Linked DNA regions of Callithrix jacchus. The protein of the gene in region 1 purifies or fractionates together with the protein of each later gene. This does not show direct contact. Links are inferred from orthologs where the notes say so. Each region holds a gene or a part of one and is shown in the gene's direction. Other genes may lie near its edges.

Region 1 (3,500 bases):
GCCGGGCACGGTGGCTCATGCATGTAATCCCAGTACTTTGGGAGGCTGAGGCAGGTGTATCACAAGGTCAGGAGTTCGAGACCAGCCAGCTAACATGGTGAAACCCCGTCTGTAGTAAAGATACAAAAAATTAGCCAGGCATGGTGGTACGTACCTGTAATCCCAGCTACTCCGGAGACTGAGGCAGGAGAATTGCTTGAACCTGGGGGGCAGAGGTTGCAGTGAGCCAAGGTCACACCATTGCACTCCAGCCTGGGTGACGGGGAGACCTCAAAGCAAAACAACAACAGCAAAAAAATTAGCCGGGTGTGGTGGTGTGCACATATAGTTGCAGCTACTTGGGAGGCTGAGACAGGCGAATCACTGGAACCTGGGAGGGAGAATGCAGTGAGCTAAGATTATGCCACTACACTCCAGCCTGGGCAACAGAGTGAGATGCCATCTCAAAAACGAAACAAAACCAGTCATTACCTTTCTTTGTAGTACATGAGACCCATATTTCTCTGTTCTCCTTTCTATAAAATGAGTTAGTTTCCTCTCAGTTCCAGGACATCCCCATCCCAGTCATTTGTTATCATGGGACTTCTCTAATATGAATCTTCCTTCTTCTTTGCCTTCTACACAGGCTGGACTCTGTGAAGCTGAGCAGGAACAGATGCGGAAGATCCTCTACCAGAAAGAGTCTAATTACAACAGGCTAAAGAGGGCCAAGATGGACAAGTCTATGTTTGTGAAAATCAAAACCCTGGGCATCGGAGCCTTTGGGGAAGTGTGCCTTGCTTGTAAGGTGGACACTCATGCGCTGTACGCCATGAAGACCCTGAGGAAGAAGGATGTCCTGAACCGTAATCAGGTGGCCCACGTCAAGGCCGAGAGGGACATCCTGGCTGAGGCAGACAACGAGTGGGTAGTGAAACTCTACTACTCCTTCCAAGACAAAGACAGCCTGTACTTTGTGATGGACTACATCCCTGGCGGGGATATGATGAGCCTGCTGATCCGGATGGAGGTCTTCCCTGAGCACCTGGCCAGGTTCTATATCGCAGAGCTGACTTTGGCCATTGAGAGTGTCCACAAGATGGGCTTCATCCACCGAGACATCAAGCCTGACAACATTTTGATAGATCTGGATGGTCACATTAAACTCACAGATTTCGGCCTCTGCACTGGGTTCAGGTGGACTCACAATTCCAAATATTACCAGAAAGGTATTGTCTTAAGCGTGCCACATGTACTTCCTATGTGTAGATGTCACTAACCCATCGCAGGCAACTAAATTTCCCATGCTGATAGTTCCTAGTCATTTTGAAATTATCTGTCACTCCACTATTATAATTTGGTGTGACGTCCTTCCCTTCCCAAAGGAATAGTATGATATATACATTTGTTTAAGTTAGTAGATTTCAGGTTTCCTTTTTTTTTTTTTTTTTTTTTTTTTTTTGAGATGGAGTTTTGCTCTTGTTGCCCAGGCTGGAGTGCAGTGGCGCTATCTCGGCTCACTGCAACCTCTGCCTCCTGGGTTCAAGTGATTCTCCTGCCTCAGCCTCCTGAGTAGCTGGAATTACAGGCATGCACCACCACACCCAGCTAATTTTGTATTTTTATATTTATTTATTTTTGAGGCAGAGTTTCGCTGTTGTTACCCAGACTGGAGTGCAATGGCACGATCTTGGCTCACCGCAACCTCCACCTCCTGGGTTCAAGCAATTCTCCTGCCTCAGCCTCCCTAGTAGCTGGGACTACAGGCACACGCCACCATGCCCAGCTAATTTTTGTATTTTTAGTAGAGACGGGGTTTCACCTTGTTGACCAGGATGGTCTCGATCTCTTGACCTCGTGATCCACCTGCCTCAGCCTCCCAAAGTGCTGGGATTATAGGCGTGAGCCACCACGCCCGGCCTGATTTTGTATTTTTATTAGAGATGGTGTTTCTCCCATGTTGGTTAGGCTGGTCTCGAACTCTTGACCTCAGGTGATCTGCCCACCTCGGTCACTGTGTCCGCCTACTGTATTTTTAAGACGATAGGCTACAAGGTGTCACAGAGCCTTTGTGGGGAACCATCATCTGCCTCATTAAAGGAAGCCTTAAAAAATAAAAGATTCAGCTAGGCGTGGTGGCTCACACCTATAATCCCAGAACTTTGAGAGGCCAAGGCAGGCATATCACCTGAGGTCGGGAGTTCAAGACCAGCCTGACCAACACAGAGAAACCCTGTCTCTACTAAAAATACAAAAGTACCCGGGTGTCAAGGCACATGCCTTAGGAGGCTGAGGCAGGAAAACTGCTTGAATCCGGAAGGCGGAGGTTGCGGTGAGCCGAGATCGTGCCATTGCCCTCCAGCCTGGGCAACAAGAGTGAAATGCTGTCTCGAATAAATAAATAAATACCCTGTAACCCAGCACTTTGGGAGGCCGAGGCGGATAGATCACGAGTTAAGAGATCGAGACCATCCTGGTCAACATGGTGAAACCCTGTCTCTACTAAAAAAAAAAAATTAAAAAATTTAAAAAATAAATAAATACATACATACATACATAAAAAGATAAGATCCACAGCCTCCCAAGGAGTCCTCTTTTATAGCTAACCTGAATCTGTGTAGTGTTTATCATTTAACTTCATTTCCTGTAATTCTGCCATTTGGAAAAGCCAAAAACAGCTGGTTATTATCTTCTTTGTGGCTCGATTCTTGAAATAGTTATTTGAATATCATCACTTAGCCTTTTTTTTCCTAACTGAAAACCAACTCTAAATCATTTAATTCACTCCTATTTTTTGGCATTGAAGTCACCTTTGTTCTTGTTGTTTAAATCTTCCTAAGGTTTCCATGCTCATCGTAAAATGTGTGTCAGGCAGATGTTACCTTTTGATTGTGGCCTGAGTGCTAGGGGTGCTGTCCCGGCAGTTCTTCCAGCGTTTCCTGCCTGCAGTACCTCCCTGCTAGCTCAGCACGATGTGTGGTTTCCTGTGGTTCCTCGCCGTAGTTTCTACCTCAGTGCTAGCGCTGACCTTACCACGTATGTCTCTGAACTAGGAACAGCAGGCTTCCTCTACAGAGCAGCTTGGGGGATTCTCTGTCCTGATGTGTCAGGAGCTAATTGGAACGACTTTTCTGTTTTAAGCTGTTGATTTGTTGAGGTATTGAAGAGTGAAAATTCACTTTATGTTTTGTTCTCTTCTTTTACCACCCCTGATTCTTGGGTGAAGGGAACCATGTCAGACAGGACAGCATGGAGCCCAGTGACCTCTGGGACGACGTGTCTAACTGTCGGTGTGGGGACAGGCTGAAGACCCTGGAGCAGAGGGCGCGGAAGCAGCACCAGAGATGCTTGGCACATTCCCTGGTGGGAACCCCAAACTACATCGCACCTGAGGTGCTCCTCCGCAAAGGTATGTGTGCCACACCAGCCACCCCATGGGAGGTCTGCTTCCCTTCAGACCTGTGAGCCGAGTCTCCCAGCTCTAGCTATCCAAGCGCCTAATGCTTCCAGTCATACTTTTG
Region 2 (3,500 bases), on another chromosome or scaffold:
GCTATGATGGTGCTACTGCATTCCAGCCTGGGTGACAGAGCAAGACCTTGTCTCAAAGAAACAAACCAATAAAACTGTACCTCACCTCTGAGATAAGTGGTGTCCTCACCCTTCCTTGTTGCCTGGCTTCCCCAACCCAGTACCCTTCTCATGCTGGTTTTTCCCCATAATCAGGTCAAACTCCCTTACTTGATACTAATTCTAAGATTAGCAGATGAGCAGAGAGGCTTGTCTTTACTCATTTTAAAAAATAAATGTCCATGTAAGTCTTTCTTTCATTGTTGACTCTGACATTCCAGAAGGAAGGGCTTCTGTCCCTCCCACTTCCCCTCTCATCAGCTTAAATGTACTCTTTTTCCCACAAGTACTGCTGATTTATAGTCTCCTCCCAGGGCCACCTACCTACTACCCCCAAACCCTCTTCCCTCCCCACGCTGCAGTACATCAAGTCCAACAGGCCCCCTCACAGGCCTCTCCTGCGTGTTCTTGCTTTTCTTTGGTCCCAGGGCTCAGACGAGACCATCCGTGTTGTGTCCATGGACAGAGACTACCACGTGGAGTGTTACCACTGTGAGGTAAGTGCCTCCCCACCCATACCCAGGGCCCATCATAGAAGTCCGAAAGAAAGCATTCTGCACTGACTGGGGCAGGAGGTGGTCAATGAGATTCTGGCAAGTGTCAGCCCTCTAGAGCTGCTGTAGGAAGTGGGGTGAAGGCTGGTTCTTGGAGGAGGTAGGAGATGATGGAAATGCTCAAGGTAGAAAGGTCTTCTGCACGTTCAGAACTATCAAGTCCTGCAGTTGTTGGAGCTGCTCTCCCTGAAGCTGCAGAACTAGGAGGGTCGTGGAAAGCATGGGTTTCAGGCCCTGTATGGAGGCCACATTGTCAGGCAGGTGTGCGATTTGGGGAAGAGACTCCCTCCCCTCCAGCTTGCAGGCTGTTCTATCTGCCAGAAGCCCCTCTCAGCAGAGCCCTGGAAATCATGAAGCCCCTCTTGGAAACAGGCATGACAGCTGAGTGGTGTGTAGGTGGGTGGGGTCCACCTGCCCCTTCCTGCCCTGTGTCCCAACCCAGGATGAAGGAGCACTAGTACCTCATGACTATCAGGAAAGCTAGGGGTCGGCCCTCACCAGCCCTTGTGAAGGGTGACCGTGGAATTTCAGCCACAACTAAGTGAATTTACCCACAGAAGGATATTAGATTCATTTGGTGACTTTGTGGGTAGAGAGAACGGGGTGTCCCTCATATAGAATGGTCCTGCTGCTAACACTGAAGAAATGGGTGGGAATCATTGCTGCTGGGACCTCAGGTGCCCCAGGTCACCACTGCAGGAGAAAAAGGTGAGGACATTTGCTCAACAGGTCTCTCCACATTTTCTAGACCAGTGCTGTCCAAAACAAATATAAGGGGCCAGGCACGATGGCTAATGCCTGTAATCCCAGCACTTTGGGAGGCCAAGGCTGGCGGATCGCTTGAGGTCAGGAGTTCAAGACCAGCCTGGCCAACATGGTGAAACCCCATCTCTAGTAAAAATACAAAAATTAGCTAGGCATGGTGGCACTTATGTAATCCCAGCTACTCAGGAGACTAAGGCAGGAGAATTGCTTGAACCGGGAGGCAGAGATTGCAGTGAGCTGAGAGCACACTACTGCACTCTTGCCTTGGTGACAGAGGGGGACTCTGTCTCAAAAAAACAAAAAAAAATTATAAATGTTATCTTTTGAACATGTAATCAGCATAAAAAATTACCCATGAGATTTTTTTTTTTGTAATTCCACAATTTATTCTTCTAAAAAAAATGAGATACATGTACAGAGCCTGCTGGTTTGTTACGTAAGTATATGTGTGCCATGGTGGTTTGCTATATCTATTGTCCCATCCTCTAGGTTCCCTCCCCTCATTCCTCCCCCCTACAGGCCCTGGTGTGTGTTATTCCCCTCTCTGTGTCAGTGTGTTCTCACTTATGAGTGAGAACATAGTGTTTAGTTTTCTGTTCCTGTGTTGGTTTGCTGAGGATGATGGTGTCCAGCTTCACCCATGTCCCTGGAAGGGACACAATCTCATTCTTTTTCCCCATGAGATATTTTCACATCCTCTTTTTGTCCTAAGTTTTAGGAATCTGGTGTGCGTTTACACTACAGCACATCTTAAGTGGGTCACAGCAAGTGCTGTGTGGCTGTGTCTCCTGTGTTGGACAGGCCTCTACTGGGCAGGAGCTGCGTTTCTGCACCAGTGTTTCCTGCCTGTTCAGAAACACACAGAACCCTCTGCTGATTTTGGGGACTGTGGCCTTCGTGTCAGTCTTGCAGTCTGTTTCGTTTTGCTTCCCCTGGACATGTCTGCCTCTCCCCAGGACTGTGGTCTGGAGCTCAATGATGAAGATGGCCATCGCTGTTATCCGCTGGAGGATCACCTGTTCTGTCACTCCTGCCACGTGAAGAGGCTGGAGAAGAGAACCTCGTCCACAGCCCTTCACCAGCACCACTTCTAGCCAGAGCCTCTTGCAGGCTTCACGGCAGGGGATGAGGAGCCAGGGTTGCTGCTGCTGCTTCTGGTGGCCCCTGGGGTGGAAGTGGGGTAGGGAAAGAGGAGGGGCGGGAGGGAGAGTTCCTGTATGTGTGGGGTGTCTTTCCTTTAACCAGGAAGGTGAACACTACCTGCCTGCTACGTGTATTTTCCAAGTGCTTTTCTCTGTTGCCACATTTTCCTCAGGTTACTCAGGAAAACGCTCCAGATGTGCGTAGCATATGACATAAGGTTACATCATTGCAACAAAGGAATCCTGTCCTCGCTGGGAACATTTCATGCTGCAGAGGGAGAGGTTTTTGTTGAGCTTGTTTCACAATATCCCCTTGAAGGGACAGCTCAGCTGCCAATACATTCAACCCTTTCTCTTCCTTCAGGAAAATACCTATACCCAAATGCCCCTCCCCCCATACATATCGTGACATAATTTAAGGCTTCTTTTCACCCAAGAGCTTTGGTTCTTCTGCAGAATGGCTGCAAATTTCATTGCATTAAGGCAAGAAGGAAGCTCTAATATGTGCTTTGTATCCCAAGAAGAATTTGCTTAGAAAACCAGAGGCAAGATTTCAAATAAGTGAGGCAGGGTTTCCTCCTCAGACACTGACAGCATTCCCTGTGCCCCTGCAAACCCTTATCCTCCTAAAGGCAGCTGAGGCCGGGACAGAAATTTGCCCTGTGTGAGTAAAACATGCTTTGGGAGAAGAACTTGGTGCAGGCACCAGGATTTTTTGTTTTTGTTTTTGCCCACCTGTTTGCGCTGTTTTTCTCTGGCGTTCTCAAGAGTCGGTGACTTAGAGCCACTTCTGCAAGGCAAGTCTCAGGAACCCATGCAGGTACATCGCTTGCACCTGTTTGTAGCTTATTTAATGACGGGCTTTTGGGAAGAACTGCACACATACTGAGAGACAGCTCCATATAGACAAGGAGAGTTTTGTGTGTGTGAGATCTCTAAGCCAGCGTGGGAGGGAGCGCTT
Region 3 (3,500 bases), on another chromosome or scaffold:
GACATTTCTGTTACATATGCTTAAGTAGGAGAGAAACATGTCAAAATGCCAAGTATAGTAGCTCCCACTAACTGCTCAGTATGTTTTCTGTCTCCTTTTTTTGTTTGTTTTTTTCCTTTTTTTTAAAATCAGGACTCTTGAGCCAGTGTCTCCCTTTTTTAAAAATCTCATTTAAAATTATTAGATAGTCCTTTTGAAAGAAAATGGTATGATAAATATCAAAGAACCACTGGGTAGGAAATATTATAAATGATCATTAAAAATAATACTAGAATCGGCCAGGCACAGTGGCTCAAGCCTGTAATCCCAGCACTTTGGGAGGCCGAGGCAGGCAGATCACGAGGTCAACAGATTGAGACCATCCTGGCCAACATGGTAAAACCCTGTCTGTACTAAAAATACAAAAAAATTAGCTGGGCATGGTGGCGTGCGCCTGTAGGCTGAGGCAGGAGAATTGCTTGAACCTGGGAGGTGGAGGGTGCAGTGAGCCGAGATTGCGCCACTGCATTCCAGCCTGGTGCCTGGTGACAGAGCGAGACTCTCTCTCTCTCAAAAAAAAAAGTAATAATAAATAATACTAGAGTTTGCAATCAAAGCTTCCTATTATATCTGCTCTGCAATATGATTTGAGAGGTATAACTTCAGGTACAACTTGCCTTTCCCTAATTCAAGTTCTTTAGTCTTAGTGGATATTAACATTCAAAACCACTACTTTGAATCATGTTGGTCCAAGTTCTCTGCCTTTCTGAACTTTTATTCACTAAACACTTTTGCAAGAGGTAAAGAGCTTCTTTAGGTTTTGGTGTTTTTCATCTTTAAATGAGAATATGAATTAGAGTGCTGTCTTCATCCTATACTGAAATGGGACTGTGTAGGCAACTACTAAAGGTACTATTGCTATGCAGCGATCTACTTACCACTGAAAGACTACTAATGGTCTTCTACGATACATTTGGGAATCCTTCACTACACTGTGAAGCCTTCTACAGTCTGCTTAGTCTCTCATTTTAAAAACAGTTTATTCTTTCCTTCTTGAGTTTTCCTGTTGTACTCAGCCTCAGGAGTACTTAGAGGCCACAAATGATGCTTCCTCTTCATTTCTTCTTCTGTCTTGTTCCTTGTTTGCTGTTGCAAATAGCATTCCTCAGAAAGATCCATCAACATGAATGGACCACCCATTTTTGTACATTATCATTTACAGGCACAGTGTGGTCTAAAGTATTCTTAAGTTCCTGACAAATAACTTTTGATGAACTTATAAAGAGCACACAATATGTTCTTCAGAAATTACAGAAACACTGTAGTGTGAAATCTGTGTTGATGGTTATCTAGTGTTAATATTAGAATAATTGATAATTTAAAGAAATAGATATTCTTTAACTTAAATTGAAATGAAGTAATATTAGCAGTTTTCTCCTTTCCCTAAAAAAAAAATTATATGTAAATAGCAGTTAACTCAGTTTTTTAGAAAAACTGATGTATTTATTTTTAGAAATGGGGTCTTGCTATGTTGCCCAGGCTGGCCTCAAACTCTTAGGCACAGCAATCCTCCCACGTCATCCTCCCAAGTAGCTAGGACTACAGGTGCCACCACTGTGCCCAGCTACTCAGTTATTTTTAATTAAAGCTTATGGTTTGTTTAGTTATAAATAAAGTTGACATTTTAAAAAACAGACTAGTTTCTTGCTAGAAATAGATGTTTATGTATGTGTTGTGAACATATATATGCTTGTGTTTTAAAACAGATATGACCACATTCTGAAGTGGGAACTCTTCCAGCTGGCTGACCTGGATACATACCAGGGAATGCTAAAGTTGCTCTTCATGAAAGAACTGGAGCAGATTGTTAAGATGTATGAAGCATACAGACAAGCTCTTCTTACAGAGCTAGAAAACCGAAAGCAGAGACAGCAGTGGTATGCCCAACAACATGGAAAAAATTTTTGAGCTGATTTTTTAAAAATAAAATTTAAGTTTTATAAGAGCTTTAAAATATTTTCACAGATAGAAAATAGCAAACAAGTACTTTGGTTAATAAACACAGCTTCCTTTGTGGAAATTATAAAATTCTAACTTTACATGTATTTTGTTATTAGAAATTTTCTTTTATTGAACAAGAAAAATTAGTCTATCATTTTAAGAGCCAATATGGCAAACACTTTCAAGTGCTATATATTAGGAAACTGCTTTGGTATTGGATGGAAAAAATGCAGCAGGAAATGTCATTATGAACAAATGTTAAATAGGAAATTATCACTTGTTAACTTCTTATAGCAGTAGTACCTTTCTTTAAAAAAAAAAAAAAAAAGAATCTGCAGTATTTAAAAAAAAATGTTTACCGCTCTAGTGTGAAATATTTTCTGGAAAGGGATGGTTTAAATATTACCATGAGGTAGTTTAAATATAAAATAGGATTTGAAGCCTTATTGTGATAAATATTTATATATGATGTATGTTTGTCTTCCCTCCTCCAAAGTAAGGGACCCAGATAGGGGACATGGTGGCTCATACCTGTAATCCCAGCACTTTGGGAAGCCGAGGTGGATGGATCTCTTGAGCTCACCAGTTTGAGACCAGCCTGGGCAACATGATGAAACCCCATCTCTACAAAAAATACAAAAAAAACATTAGCTAGGTATGATGGTGCATTCCTGTAGTCTCAGCTACTTGGGAGGCTGAGGTCAGAGGATGGCTTGAGCCCGAGAGGCAGAGGCTGCAGGGTCAAGATTGTACCACTTGCACTGCAGCCTGGGTGAGAGAGCCAGTCCTTGTCTCAAAAAATAAAGAAAGAAATAAAAACAAAGTAAGGAAGCCTTTTAAAGCATGTTGAGAAAATACTTTTTTTTTTTTTTTTTTTTTTGAGACGGAGTTTCGCTCTTGTTACCCAGGCTGGAGTGCAATGGCGCGATCTCGGCTCACCGCAATCTCCGCCTCCTGGGTTCAGGCAATTCTCCTGCCTCAGCCTCCTGAGTAGCCGGGATTACAGGCACGTGCCACCATGCCCAGCTAATTTTTTGTATTTTAGTAGAGACGGGGTTTCACCATGTTGACCAGGTTGGTCTCGATCTCTTGACCTCGTGATCCACCCGCCTCGGCCTCCCAAAGTGCTGGGATTACAGGCTTGAGCCACCGCGCCCGGCCGAGAAAATACTTTTTATTATGAATGGGTGATGGGCATTTTGATCTTTCAGGAGTACATATAAGCATAAGTACCTAGCCTGTTTGAGGAAGGTGTGTGAAACTCAAAGTTGCTAAAATCAACTTTGGTATTTTCAGCCAGGGCTGTTACTGCATTTAGCATGGCTCTGATGAGACAGTGGAGAGTTCCTGACAGCATAGCGTACTGCCTTCTGACAGACTGGATTGAGCTACCAAAAATGACAATCAGGGATTCAAAAAAAAATGTTGGTCATTAAATTGATTTTATATTATTACTTTTTAATCTTCTAAGCATTTGTCACAGGACTTTAAAACCACATATTTCCTTCATAATTTTTCTC
Region 4 (3,500 bases), on another chromosome or scaffold:
TGGCAAGCTCTTGACTCACTGCAACCTCTGCCTCCTGGGTTCAAGTGATTCTCCTGCCTCAGCCTCTAGAGTAGCTGGGATTACAGGCTTGTGCCACCACACCCAGCAAATTTTTTAAAAAATATTTTTAGTAGAGACAGGGTTTCACCCTGTTGGCCAGGATGGTCTCTATCTCCTGACCTCATCATCTGCCCACCTCAGCTGGGATTTTCTTTAATCCTTTACTGATAAGCTTTAGGATTCCTTGGAGGTTTTTCACTATTAAAAACAATTCTGGAAAACAAATCCTTATCCATATCTAGAGAAGATTTTTAGAAGTAGAATGGGTGGCTTGAGGATCTTTTCAGTGTTAATAGATACTACCATATTGCCCTCCCAAAGGTTATACTTTATACTTTCACCAATAGTATATTAAAGTACTAGCTTCTCTGTACCCACTTCCAGCAGTCTCCAACATTTTTGGCACCAGGGACCGGTTTCGTGGAAGACAGTTTTTCACAGATCTGGTTGGGGGGATGGTTTCCGGATGATTCAAATGCATTACACTGAGTGTGCACTTTATTTCTATTACATTGTAATATATAATGAATAATTACACAAGTCACCATAATGTAGAATCAGTGGGAACTCTGAGCAACTAGATGGTCCCATCTGGGGGTAATGGGAGAGAGTGACAGATCATCAGGCATTAGATTCTCATAAAACACATGTAGTTTAGATCCCTTGCATGCACAGTTCACAATAGGGTTCACACTCCTGTGAGACAGGAGGTGGAGCTTAGGTGGTAATGACAGCAATGGGGAGTGGCTGTAAATATGGGTGAGGCTTTGCTGCTTGCTCACTGCTCACCCACATTTGTGGGGCCTGGTCTGTGGCTCTGGGGTTAGAAGCCCCTGCCCTATTCCACATTTAATGTAATCATTTTAACTTTTGCCACTCAGATTAGGGAAAAAATAAATCTTACTTTAACTGAACAGTTTTTTACATGCTCATTGATTGTCATACTTTTACTGAATTGCGTATTCATCTCCTTAGCCTATTTTTCCAAAGGATTCCTTATATTTTTAGTGAGTTATAGAAGCCCTCTATTACCGGTTCATCCTTTGTAATATATGTTACAAGTACCTTTTTTTGGTTACTTGTCTTTTTGCTCTGTTATGGAAGTTTTAATTGATACTGTTTGAAATCTGTCAATTTTTTTCTTTGAGGTTTCTGAGTTTTGTGTCATGTTAGGAAGACTTTATGGATGGTGTCAGATAGGAATAAAAATATTTTTTTCCTCAGTAATGAATTATGGCTGTCTCATTTATTTTCCCAGTTATAAACTTAAAGATGTTAGTGTTTCTTTTACTGTGGTTTGCTTTCAAGGCATCCCAAATATTTTAATATAGAAAACTGGATTTTTGAATTAAACCTCCCTGCACCATTTTCTTTCTATCTCTCCCATCCCTCATGAAGCCTTGCTATGTTGTCCTGGCTAGTCTTGAACTCCTGGGCTCAACCAATCATCCCAACGTGGTCTCTCAAACTGCTGGGATTACAGGTGCGAGCCTCTCACTGCACTTGGCACCACCATTTTCTATAGGTGAAAATTGAGGCCAGGCACAGTAGCTCATGCCTGTAATTCCAGCATTTTGGGAGGCTGAGGCAGGTGGAGCACTTGAAGTCAGGAGTTCAAGACCAGCCTGGTCAACATGGCACTATCCCATGTCCACTTAAAAAAATAATAATAATAATTAGCTGGGCGTGGTGGTGGCTCCTATAATTCCAGCTACTTGGGAGGCTGAGGCAGGAGAATTGCTTGAATCCTGGAGGTGAAGGTTGCAGTGAGCCAGGATCACATCACTACCTTCCAGCCTGGGTGACAGAGTAAGACTTCATCTCAAACAAAAAAAACGGAAATTGAGGCCAAAAGAAGGTTTAGCTTCTCAAGAAGACATAGTTGGTGTCAGATCAACAACTAAATCTCAGATTTTCCTTTGGTTAAACTACCCTCTCTGTACCAGACTTCTTCAGAGGGTATAGTGAAATTGCCTTATTTGTGAAATTGTGCTGGTAATCTTGCTTTTATGTGCAGGGGAAAAAAAAGCATTCTTTTATTGTGATCATCATCTTCCTATCTTGGCATTTTTCAGAGCGTATGCTTTTTTGTTTCTTTTTTTTTTTTTGAGACAGAGTCTCGCTGTGTTTCACAGGCTGGAGTGCGGTGGCGCGATCTCGGCTCACTGCAGCCTCTGCCTCCTGGGTTCAAGTGATTCACCTGTCTCAGTCCCCCGAGTAGCTGAGACTACAGGCATGCGCCACCATACTCAGCTAATTTTTGTATTTTTAGTAGAGACAGCTTTCGTCATGTTGTTCAGGCTTGTCTTGAACTCCTTACCTCAGGTGATCACAAAGTGCTGAGATTATAGGCATGAGCCACTGTGCCTGGCCCAGATAGTATTTTTTATTTTATTTTAACAGACCACTTTATATGTCTAAAATTATGTTGTTCTACCTGTTGTATTTCCAGTCTTAAAAAGTCACATGCTTTCACTTTTAACCTTACAGCAGCAGCCGCTCTTCTAAAACATTCAAACCAAAGAAGAATATCCCTGAAGGATCTCATCAGTATGAACTCCTAAAACATGCAGAAGCAACTCTAGGAAGTGGGAATCTGAGACAAGCTGTTATGTTGCCTGAGGGAGAGGATCTCAATGAATGGATTGCTGTAAACAGTAAGTTTTAAAATGCAACTTTGCTGTTTTACAGAAAGGTTTTGCTAAAATCTCTTGGTTAATGAATTTTCTTTGACAGAGATAACTGGTTTAATATAACAGATTATCTGTAAAGAAACATTAAGTACAAATATATCCAAAACTATGTTGTTCTTTTCAGAGTACTTGGTGGTAGCTTGTAAGGTTGACTAGAGGGACCTGAGAAGAAATGATGAGTGCTTTTGGGCAGTTTCTGAGGAGAGTAGTATGAAAAGCTGAGTATGGTCAAATAAAGATTGATAAATGAAAAGATTATGCATGTCATGGTCTGTGACTTTGTAGTGAATCCGTCTATACAGTTTTTCTTCCACTCCCAGCAGTACTCATCAGCCTGTATATCCAGAAAAGTCAGTTGCAGTTCATATGGCCAGTCAGTTGATAGTTGTGACTTAGAGTGTCAGAGGGAATTGAGAGATTGGGAGAAAATGGAGGGATCTGAGCTGAAAGTCACTTTGAGTTCAAGAGAACGAAGGCATGACATGGGACAATATGCTAAGGCTAGAAATTTGCATGTGAGAGTCTCTCATTTTTGAGATGAGATCATTTCTGGGTGATAAAGTTTAAATTAGGAATTTCAGCTGTTCCGGGAACGTTTAAAACTTTTTAATGGAAAATTTCAAACATACAGAAGTAGAGAGACTTAAGTACAGTGAATTCCAAGTATTCATTCCATTATCCAGCTCCAGCAAATATCAATTTGTGACCAGTTATGCTACATCTGTATGCCACCTTGATTATTTTAAG
Region 5 (4,088 bases), on another chromosome or scaffold:
TCTAGCTGCCTTGAACTGATGCCTTTCTGCAACCATCTCAAGAATATTTGTCAAACATGTTGTGAGGTATCCCCCCAAATGCCTGAAAGACGTGATCTTTCCCGAGATTTTACAACCCAGAGTACACATGTCCACAACCATTCCCCTCCTCCACCAATTACACTGTCCATAAGGTAAGGCCACCCAGAGACCTCTTCACAAATGACCCATTTGCTCAATCATCTCAGATGCAATCACTATTTGAAACAGTATTTGGCTTCCAAGTAAAACACACACACACTTTTTGTGGGAGTTTTATTAAAAATTAACAATGTCCCTGGCTATTAAGCTTCCAGAGTTTCCTTGTCCCTGGTTCCCTCCGGTGAATTTGGGAATTGCAAACTCCATGCTGAGGGGAGGACCCAGCCAGGGGAAGAAGAAATCAGCCCTGACTCTCTGGGTGGACAGGGGCCTGACTGCCCCCACTTCAGCCCAACTGACTTGTAGAGAGGCCCTGTGTAGTGGGAACTGGGACAGGGTGTGTCAGTGAAGGCTTTCTGAAGAAGGGGTTTGCACCTAGCAGACGAAGTGTCCTGGGGGCAGAGAAGAAGATTCCATGCAGGAGCCACAGAAGTGGATACAAGGGAAGGCCGCTGGCTGGCAGGGGTGTAGGGGGAGGTAAAGAAGAGACTAAAACAAGGAGCGGGCAGGTGGAAAGAGGAAGGTTCCTGGCGTCTGCCCAGTCCATCTAGGGAGCCCGGATTCTGATGGCAACGGAGGGGTTTTGAGAATGAAAACCCAAGCAGCCCCTGGTTGGTTGTCTGGTTCTTTCTGTGTGACTCTGGGCACCCTGCTTAAGCTCTCTGAGCCCTGGTGTCCTCATTTATAACACAGGGATGATAACAGAACTCCGTTGGAGGATGCTAGGCAAGGCTGGATCGCTTGACTGGGAGAAAAGCCGGCGGTGGCACACCCTGCGCTCTGCGTAAAGGGGCGCCTATTATCTTGGGGAAGAGGTGGACAGAGCGCCTGGCGGCGGGAGATTCGGTTGGGTAGATGGATCAAATTGACAGGATTTTCCAACACAGATTCACGCTTCCTGTGGAGAAGGTTCGTAAAAGAGCTGGTGAAGGTGTTTGTAAACAAAAGTGCAATTCAAAGGTTGCCGCGGGGGTGAAAGCACTGGGGGTTAGGGGAAAGAGAGGCTCGGAGGCTGGAAGTATTCACTTCTCCCGGGACAAGCTCCCAGCCCTGAGGATATAGACGTCTTTGCGGTCCTTCTTCCCTTACCCCCTCCCCCGGTTTACACACACACGCACAGCCGGAGCCTCTCCCGCAGCAACCCCGGGACAAGCGTGGCACAGCCCTTGCTGTATCGTTCCGTCGATGGGTTTCGGGATGAAGGGTGGAGAGCGGGTCGGCGACTAGGGGTGTAAGCAATAATGGGCCGAGTTGTATTAAATTGTCTCCAGCAGCTCCGATCGCAAAGCGGGGGGCAGGGGCGGACACACTGCGGCCTGGAGGGCGCTGAGTGCGGAGGAACGGAGCTCAGGGGCCGGCCCGGCGCTCAGCCAGCAGCGCCGCCTCCCGGGAGGAAGGCGGGGGACGGGAGGAGGGAGCTGGAGGAGGCGGAGGGCGGAGGAGGGCGGCGCGCTGAGAGGTTATTTGTGGTTCGCTTTGATCCCGAGGGGGAACCTGAAACTCTCACATTCCTGGCATAACAGCCGCCTCCAGCGCGGACCGACCCTGGGGCTGCGCGCTGGGGCGCGAACTGCCAGAGCGTCGGCGCCACTGCCGAGAATACATCTCCGCCGCCGAGCTGAGCAGGGCCGAGCCGGGGGTTGCAGTGTCTGACTGTGCTGGGCACCCGCGGGCCGCAGCGGTAAGGAAGGCCGCTTGGCGCTGGGGAGAGCGCGCGAGGCCACAGAGACGTGCCCCGGCCAAAGCCGGAGTCTCGGCGCAGCCCGGCCTTTTCCGGGAGTCGGAGCCCGGAGGATCGAGCGTACTCCGGGCGTAGTGCGCCCGTTCGAGGCAGCCGCAGTGCCAGGCAAGGGCCGCTCCGCCTGGGAGCCCAGCGCCCCTGGCTTTGCGGGGCTCTAGCAGCGCGCCGGTCCCCCGGGGCTGGGGGAGAGCGGAGAGGGCAGACTCTATAGAGGCGACGGTGTTTCGGGTTGCAGGTAGGCCGGGGTGGGGGTGACGGGGGACAGGCCTGGAGGCGCCGCTTGGGGTTCAATTTGCAGGGTCTCGCGGGTTGATTTGGTTAGGTGGGGGTTACAGGTGCCTTTGCCTCCAACTAGTCCAAGAATTCCTCTTTGTCTTCCTTGGAAAATCCTCTCTGGAGACACGAATTGGCTCTCACCTAGAAAGAATGCAGCCTGCTGTCCAGCCCGGTGACGTCAGCGCTGGAGTATTTGGAAAACAAAGAGGGCTCGAGAGGGAGGGAGGCGGACCCGCGATGCTTAAAGACTTCTCCGGGCCACGGGCTACCCTCACCGGCTAGCCCCAGGCGTACCCGCGACCACCGGCGATCCAGGTCCGCCCGGGGTCGTGGTGGAGCTGGAGTCCTGGCTGGGGTGCGAGAGTCTCCCGGCTTGGAGACTGTCACTTTGGTTCCTTAGGCGAGCTGGAGCCCAGGCCAAGGCAGCCGACGCGCGCTGGCTTAGACAGGCAGCCTTCAGAGAGCTCAGCGCGCTAGCGCAGCAGAGGGGCGCGGCCGGGGGCGCGGAAGCAGGTTTTAGTTAAGGCTCGGTCGTTTGGTATTTGAAAGGTCGTGAATCTGAGGGGCTTGGCCGGGACAAATTCGCGAGGCCTTGGAGATGTTCCTTGCTCCCAGTCCCCGCACACTGTGGAGCGCCCGGAATCTGTCGGGAAGGCTCCGCATTCCTTCCGGCCGCTCCCTTGCAGCCTCTGTGGGAGTCGGCCAGAGAGTAATTATCTTAAGGAAATGCCCCGAGATAAAACTCCAGAGCGAATTAAATCCCGTTTGCTTGCTTTGCCTCGGGTAGCGCCGGAGTCTTGCAATATCTACCCCTCGTTGTGTGTGGGGGCGCATGAATGGGTGCCAGGAAGGATTGGTACAGAGGTGCCCTCCAGACTCATACCCCAGTCCCCAGCTCTGGGCAGCTGGAGCCCGGGGTGGGGAGAGGGAAAGGATTGGGAATGGCTGTTCTGCCAACATACCATAACCCAAACTGAAGCAGGACACGGGCTAGTTTTGTGGCAGAGGAGGGGCCACATTCCTCCCACTCCCCACCAACCCCTGCCTGTTCACACAGGATGTTTGGCAGTATGGAGTCCGTTTAGTTTTCCCTGGATCCCAGTTTGGAGATTTGTGTTGGAGAAAGCCCAAGTCCAGATGATCTTCCTTGACACTGATGTCAAGAAAGATGCTGAAAGCCCATCCTCTGTTTGCTTAGAGGACCAGTGAGGGCTTTTCCAAGTAGCGTGTGTGCGTGCATGTGTGTGTGTTGGGGAGGATAATCATAAAAGACGTCGTGCCATCCTTTCTTTTTCCTGGAGCTCTCTTGCAGTTACCGTCAGCTCTAAGACTGACCCACTGACCTTAATGGGTGGCAACTTTCTGCCTCATCTCACAAAACCATTGTCGAGCCTTTTTATTCATCCCTTATTCAGAAATTCAGGTGCAATTCCTCCTCCTTCCTGTTCACCTTGCAGAATGACTGCCAAGGTCATCCCATGACAGGGAGTCCTGGATTCATTCTGTCAGCAGCCCTTGATGAAGCAGAGCCCAGGCCCACCCCCCAGGAGCTCTTTGGTTCTGGGAGAGTGAGAAAAGTGGGCAGGGGTTCAGTGGGCTAGAGGGTAGTAGGTTGACTGTGCCAGGGCTGGGCTCTGGCATGCTTCATTCTGGGGGGGGTCCTGGAGGACTTTCACCTAGGGCTTCTACTGGACTACATGCCTTCTGTATCACCTGCCAATAAACTGGGTCCCCACCCAGCCCTAGACTGAATAGCTAAGTGGTTAGATCTGAACTAGGCCTGCCTTGGAATTGCTCATCAGGCTGTTTGATGGGTAGGTGGCTATAGAGGCAGTGGTTCCTGGTGGATTATCTTCTGGTTTTCTTATGTCTTTCTCCAGGAATAGTAAGC
Region 6 (3,500 bases), on another chromosome or scaffold:
GAGATGGGGGCTCCTTCTCCCTGGGGGTTAGGTTGCTTCCTTTGACAGAACCCCAACATACCCCTTGTGTCCCCCAGCCCCAGCTTGACTGTACCCTCCTTTTCCTGCCCCGAGTAGGGGCCCTCTTCCTTGGCTTCAGCCTTGCGCAGCTGCCAGAGGGTGGGAGCAGGACAGGCCTGGGCCCATCAGTTGCTGCAGCTGCTGCACAGGCTCCCAAGCCCCTGGGCAAAGACTGGGATGGGCCCCAACAGGCAAGGAGTGTGGCAGCCTGCCGAGGGGGAGAGGTGGGGCGGGCCCGTTGGGATCTGCTCCCCAAAGACAGGCCCTAGCCCTCACTCATGGGCCTGGAATTGGGGAGTGGAGGGAGGGAAGAACACACCCAAGAAAGGCGAGTGCCAGAGCCAGGTGTATGTATCTTAGCGGGGGATTTTGGGGAAGAGCAAGCAGTTCAGTTCTGTGCTCCTCGAATGATAGAAGGTGGCTGGGAGGCATCAGGGGCTTTGCCACTCTCCCCCTTTTCCTGTGCAATGCTGGTTCCTGGAACACACCCTGCATTCTCAGCAGCCACCTCCCCACAGGAGTCATGCTCACATGGTTCTCTGCACAGAGCCCTCTGCTGAGCCAGGTCCTTTTCTCCATCCTTGGAAGTCTGCAGCAGAGAGAAATCATTCTGTAACCGAACAGCAGCTTGTCTGACTGATGGGAAAAACTGAAGTCCCAGAGAGGCCTTCTGGGCCTAGCCTGCTTTCTCTAGAAAGTTTTTTCAAGTCTGCTGTGGGCCAGCATTTCTGACCATTTGTCCCACACACTGCAGCAGAGATCATACCTTGCCTTTGTGGTCTTTTCTCCCCAACAGAAACTAAGCATTTAAATGCCAGGGACCATATCTTCAACTTTCTCCAGGTTTCCTCAGGTAGTGGTGTTGTATCTGTTGAGTAATTAAACAAAAGTGGATCTGCTCAGCCAAGATCTTGCTGTATTTCATTACCTGTTATCTTCTCTTCTCAGAAGGGAGCCCATCAAAGGGAGATTGTGACCCTTGGCACATCAGGAAAGAGTAGTGAGGAAAGCTTGGGAATTCCTGGTTTTGACCTGGGGGAGTACAGTGTGATGCTCTTTTCTCTTCTCAGGCACCTGTATCAAGTGCAACAAAGGCATCTATGGGCAGAGCAATGCCTGCCAGGCCCTGGACAGCCTTTACCACACCCAGTGCTTTGTCTGCTGCTCTTGTGGTAAGTGTAGCCCCAACACTCAAGCACCCCCCTCCCTTGCCCATGTACACACTTACAAGTGCTATGGGGAACAGGGGGAGAGCTTGTGCCTCTTCATTTGCTCACCGAGCAGCTGTTGGATCCCCACCAAGTATCTAGAGGTCCGAAACTGCTCTGCCTCTTGCTTCCCTGTTTATGCTCTACCTGGCTCTCTCTGCCCCATGGTGGGTCTCCTTTCTGGAGTCCCTCCTTCCTTCCTCACCTCTGTTTCTCCCTCATGCTTCCCTGCTTGCCCATCCTGGACTTGCCTGGCCCTCCAGCTTCTTGGTGGGGCTTGGTCTTGGGCAGCCAAGTTGCCTGGGGCGACCGTGAAAGACTGGAATGTAGAGAGGGCGGGGGCAGGCTGGGGGAGTGGGGAGCTGTCGGGGGCGGAGAGGGGGGTTTTCTCTTGGCTGGTCAGAGTTCAGCCACCTCGCTAGAGTGCAGGCCACCGGGCCATGCCAAGCTGATGACATCACGCTCCAGGAATGCCTGCCACTGTTAGCTCTGGAGGCCCATTTGGGAAGGGGAGATGCTCCCAGCAGCCTTAACTGCCCCCCCTCACCTCCCTCATTACCCCCTCCCCACCGCTTACCCATTCTGATTCCTTTGCTAAACCTTTAATCTCCTATCTGCCTGTCTGACTCCAGCACTCCGCTTTTCTCACTCCCCCAGTTTCTGCCTGGTTTTTAGGCTCATCTCTGTCTACCCTTCTGTTTATAGAACCTCTTCTAACTATATCTCTTTCCCTCTCTTTCCACCCCTGTGTCTCATGAGCATCTAAGTCAGCTTTCCTAACCCACTGGACACAGCTGAAGGTGGGGATTTTGATGGGAAGAAGGCAAAAAGGTGGGAAAATTGCTCATGCTCCACCTGTTCTCTCACTCCTCCCCCATCCCTGACAATTTAGACACCTGGGAGCAGTTCCTGGGTGTTGGTCACATGGGGAATGGTCCTGCCTTGTCTGCTAGAAGAAGATCTTGTGTTGCCTCTTACCCCAGAGACTTTGGGTCCCTCCAGGCTTAGGGAAGCAACCTCATACAAACAGGAAAGGGGACCTGCTTTGCTTCCAAACCAAGCACTTTGTCCTCCTGCAGTAACTCCAGTCCTCACCTCCGTGGAGTCTGTCCGTGGAAGGAAATAGGGCTCTGAGATCAGGTTAGATATGCTTAGGCAAAGAGTCTTCTAGGTTGAAGGATCCCAGAGGGCAAGGCCTGTAACAATGTGATTCTCTCTATGCAAATCATATAGCACCTTATTAAGAGCTCCTTTATCATGTATTTCAGCATGTGGTTGGCTTCACTCTCCCAGGTGGCTTCCTATGCACTGGAGAGGAAGGCAGTTTGTTTAGGGGAGGGTTGTTAGGGGAGGGCCCTAGGAAACTGTTGAGGAGGCAGGAGCGGGAGGAGAGGGGAAGTTGGCTGGAATGAAGCCAAAGCAAATTGGAATTGCATCAGATGGAATTTTTGTGTGGGGAAGGACAGACATCAGTTAGGAGGACAGGCACAAAGTCCAGGTTGAAAAATATTATGCAGCATTGAGGAGCAGTGACTCCAGAGTGGGAGAGGTCTTGCACCTGGGCTGTGGGATAGGTTCCAGCCCCTTCTCTGCTGTTTCTAGGACGAACTTTGCGTTGCAAGGCTTTCTACAGTGTCAATGGCTCTGTGTACTGTGAGGAAGATTATCTGGTGAGTAAGGGTCACCTGGACCTGGAATTGGTTTCCATCCTGACTCCCTTCTTGGTGGCCTATTGGAGTTCCACCCATCATCCTCAGTTTGATAACAGCCTCCCTTTGTCTTGTCTTTTACTTTAGTTTTCAGGGTTTCAGGAGGCAGCTGAGAAATGCTGTGTCTGTGGTCACTTGATTTTGGAGAAGGTAAGTAAAGTGCCTTCAGCTGAGACTCTCACTGTGCAGCTGAGGAGTAGAATCAGGGACTAAATGGATACTGAGAGAAGGTTAAGGGAAGAAGGCTTTCATCCCATTCCTCCCCAGAGCAACTGTTTACCATGGCTTTCCTCTGCCTTTGGGATCAAGTCTGGGCTCCAAAGTTTGTCGTCCCAGGCTTCTGTGACCTGGCGCCTCCCTAATTCTGCAGGCACAGCCAGGCCTTCCAGCCTGAGCTAGGAGTGTGGGGTCTTGCATCTTTTTTTTTTTTTTTTTTTGAGACAGCATCTCACTCTGACATGTAAGTGGCATGATCTCAATTCACTGCAACCTCCACCTCCCAGGTTCAAGCGATTCTAGTGCC

What was found.
Region 2: the proteins of LATS2 (region 1) and LIMD1 purify together in Homo sapiens (affinity purification with mass spectrometry; 3 studies listed by BioGRID and IntAct, with this or other methods). This does not show direct contact. The link is inferred for Callithrix jacchus from reciprocal best matches to the Homo sapiens genes LATS2 and LIMD1.
Region 3: the proteins of LATS2 (region 1) and SAV1 purify together in Homo sapiens (affinity purification with western blotting; 4 studies listed by BioGRID, with this or other methods). This does not show direct contact. The link is inferred for Callithrix jacchus from reciprocal best matches to the Homo sapiens genes LATS2 and SAV1.
Region 4: the proteins of LATS2 (region 1) and MOB1A purify together in Homo sapiens (affinity purification with western blotting; 9 studies listed by BioGRID and IntAct, with this or other methods). This does not show direct contact. The link is inferred for Callithrix jacchus from reciprocal best matches to the Homo sapiens genes LATS2 and MOB1A.
Region 5: the proteins of LATS2 (region 1) and AMOTL2 purify together in Homo sapiens (affinity purification with western blotting; 3 studies listed by BioGRID). This does not show direct contact. The link is inferred for Callithrix jacchus from reciprocal best matches to the Homo sapiens genes LATS2 and AMOTL2.
Region 6: the proteins of LATS2 (region 1) and AJUBA purify together in Homo sapiens (affinity purification with western blotting; 3 studies listed by BioGRID and IntAct, with this or other methods). This does not show direct contact. The link is inferred for Callithrix jacchus from reciprocal best matches to the Homo sapiens genes LATS2 and AJUBA.

Annotation. Positions count from the first base shown.
Region 1 is NC_133506.1:140,650,144-140,653,643, reverse strand, and holds part of LATS2 (serine/threonine-protein kinase LATS2), read left to right. Parts: intron 1-625; coding exon 626-1,208; intron 1,209-3,205; coding exon 3,206-3,388; intron 3,389-3,500. UniProt on the Homo sapiens protein: Negative regulator of YAP1 in the Hippo signaling pathway that plays a pivotal role in organ size control and tumor suppression by restricting proliferation and promoting apoptosis.
Region 2 is NC_133516.1:28,414,635-28,418,134, forward strand, and holds part of LIMD1 (LIM domain-containing protein 1), read left to right. Parts: intron 1-506; coding exon 507-575; intron 576-2,353; coding exon 2,354-2,491; 3' UTR 2,492-3,500. UniProt on the Homo sapiens protein: Adapter or scaffold protein which participates in the assembly of numerous protein complexes and is involved in several cellular processes such as cell fate determination, cytoskeletal organization, repression of gene transcription, cell-cell adhesion, cell differentiation, proliferation and migration.
Region 3 is NC_133509.1:85,194,396-85,197,895, reverse strand, and holds part of SAV1 (protein salvador homolog 1), read left to right. Parts: intron 1-1,745; coding exon 1,746-1,947; 3' UTR 1,948-3,500. UniProt on the Homo sapiens protein: Regulator of STK3/MST2 and STK4/MST1 in the Hippo signaling pathway which plays a pivotal role in organ size control and tumor suppression by restricting proliferation and promoting apoptosis.
Region 4 is NC_133515.1:39,019,826-39,023,325, forward strand, and holds part of MOB1A (MOB kinase activator 1A), read left to right. Parts: intron 1-2,550; coding exon 2,551-2,717; intron 2,718-3,500. UniProt on the Homo sapiens protein: Activator of LATS1/2 in the Hippo signaling pathway which plays a pivotal role in organ size control and tumor suppression by restricting proliferation and promoting apoptosis.
Region 5 is NC_133518.1:49,808,557-49,812,644, forward strand, and holds the start of AMOTL2 (angiomotin-like protein 2), read left to right. Parts: upstream 1-1,288; 5' UTR 1,289-1,411; intron 1,412-1,670; exon of another isoform or gene 1,671-2,156; intron 2,157-2,470; exon of another isoform or gene 2,471-2,512; intron 2,513-4,088. UniProt on the Homo sapiens protein: Regulates the translocation of phosphorylated SRC to peripheral cell-matrix adhesion sites. Required for proper architecture of actin filaments.
Region 6 is NC_133509.1:57,343,856-57,347,355, reverse strand, and holds part of AJUBA (LIM domain-containing protein ajuba), read left to right. Parts: intron 1-1,130; coding exon 1,131-1,232; intron 1,233-2,027; coding exon 2,028-2,099; intron 2,100-2,870; coding exon 2,871-2,938; intron 2,939-3,064; coding exon 3,065-3,127; intron 3,128-3,500.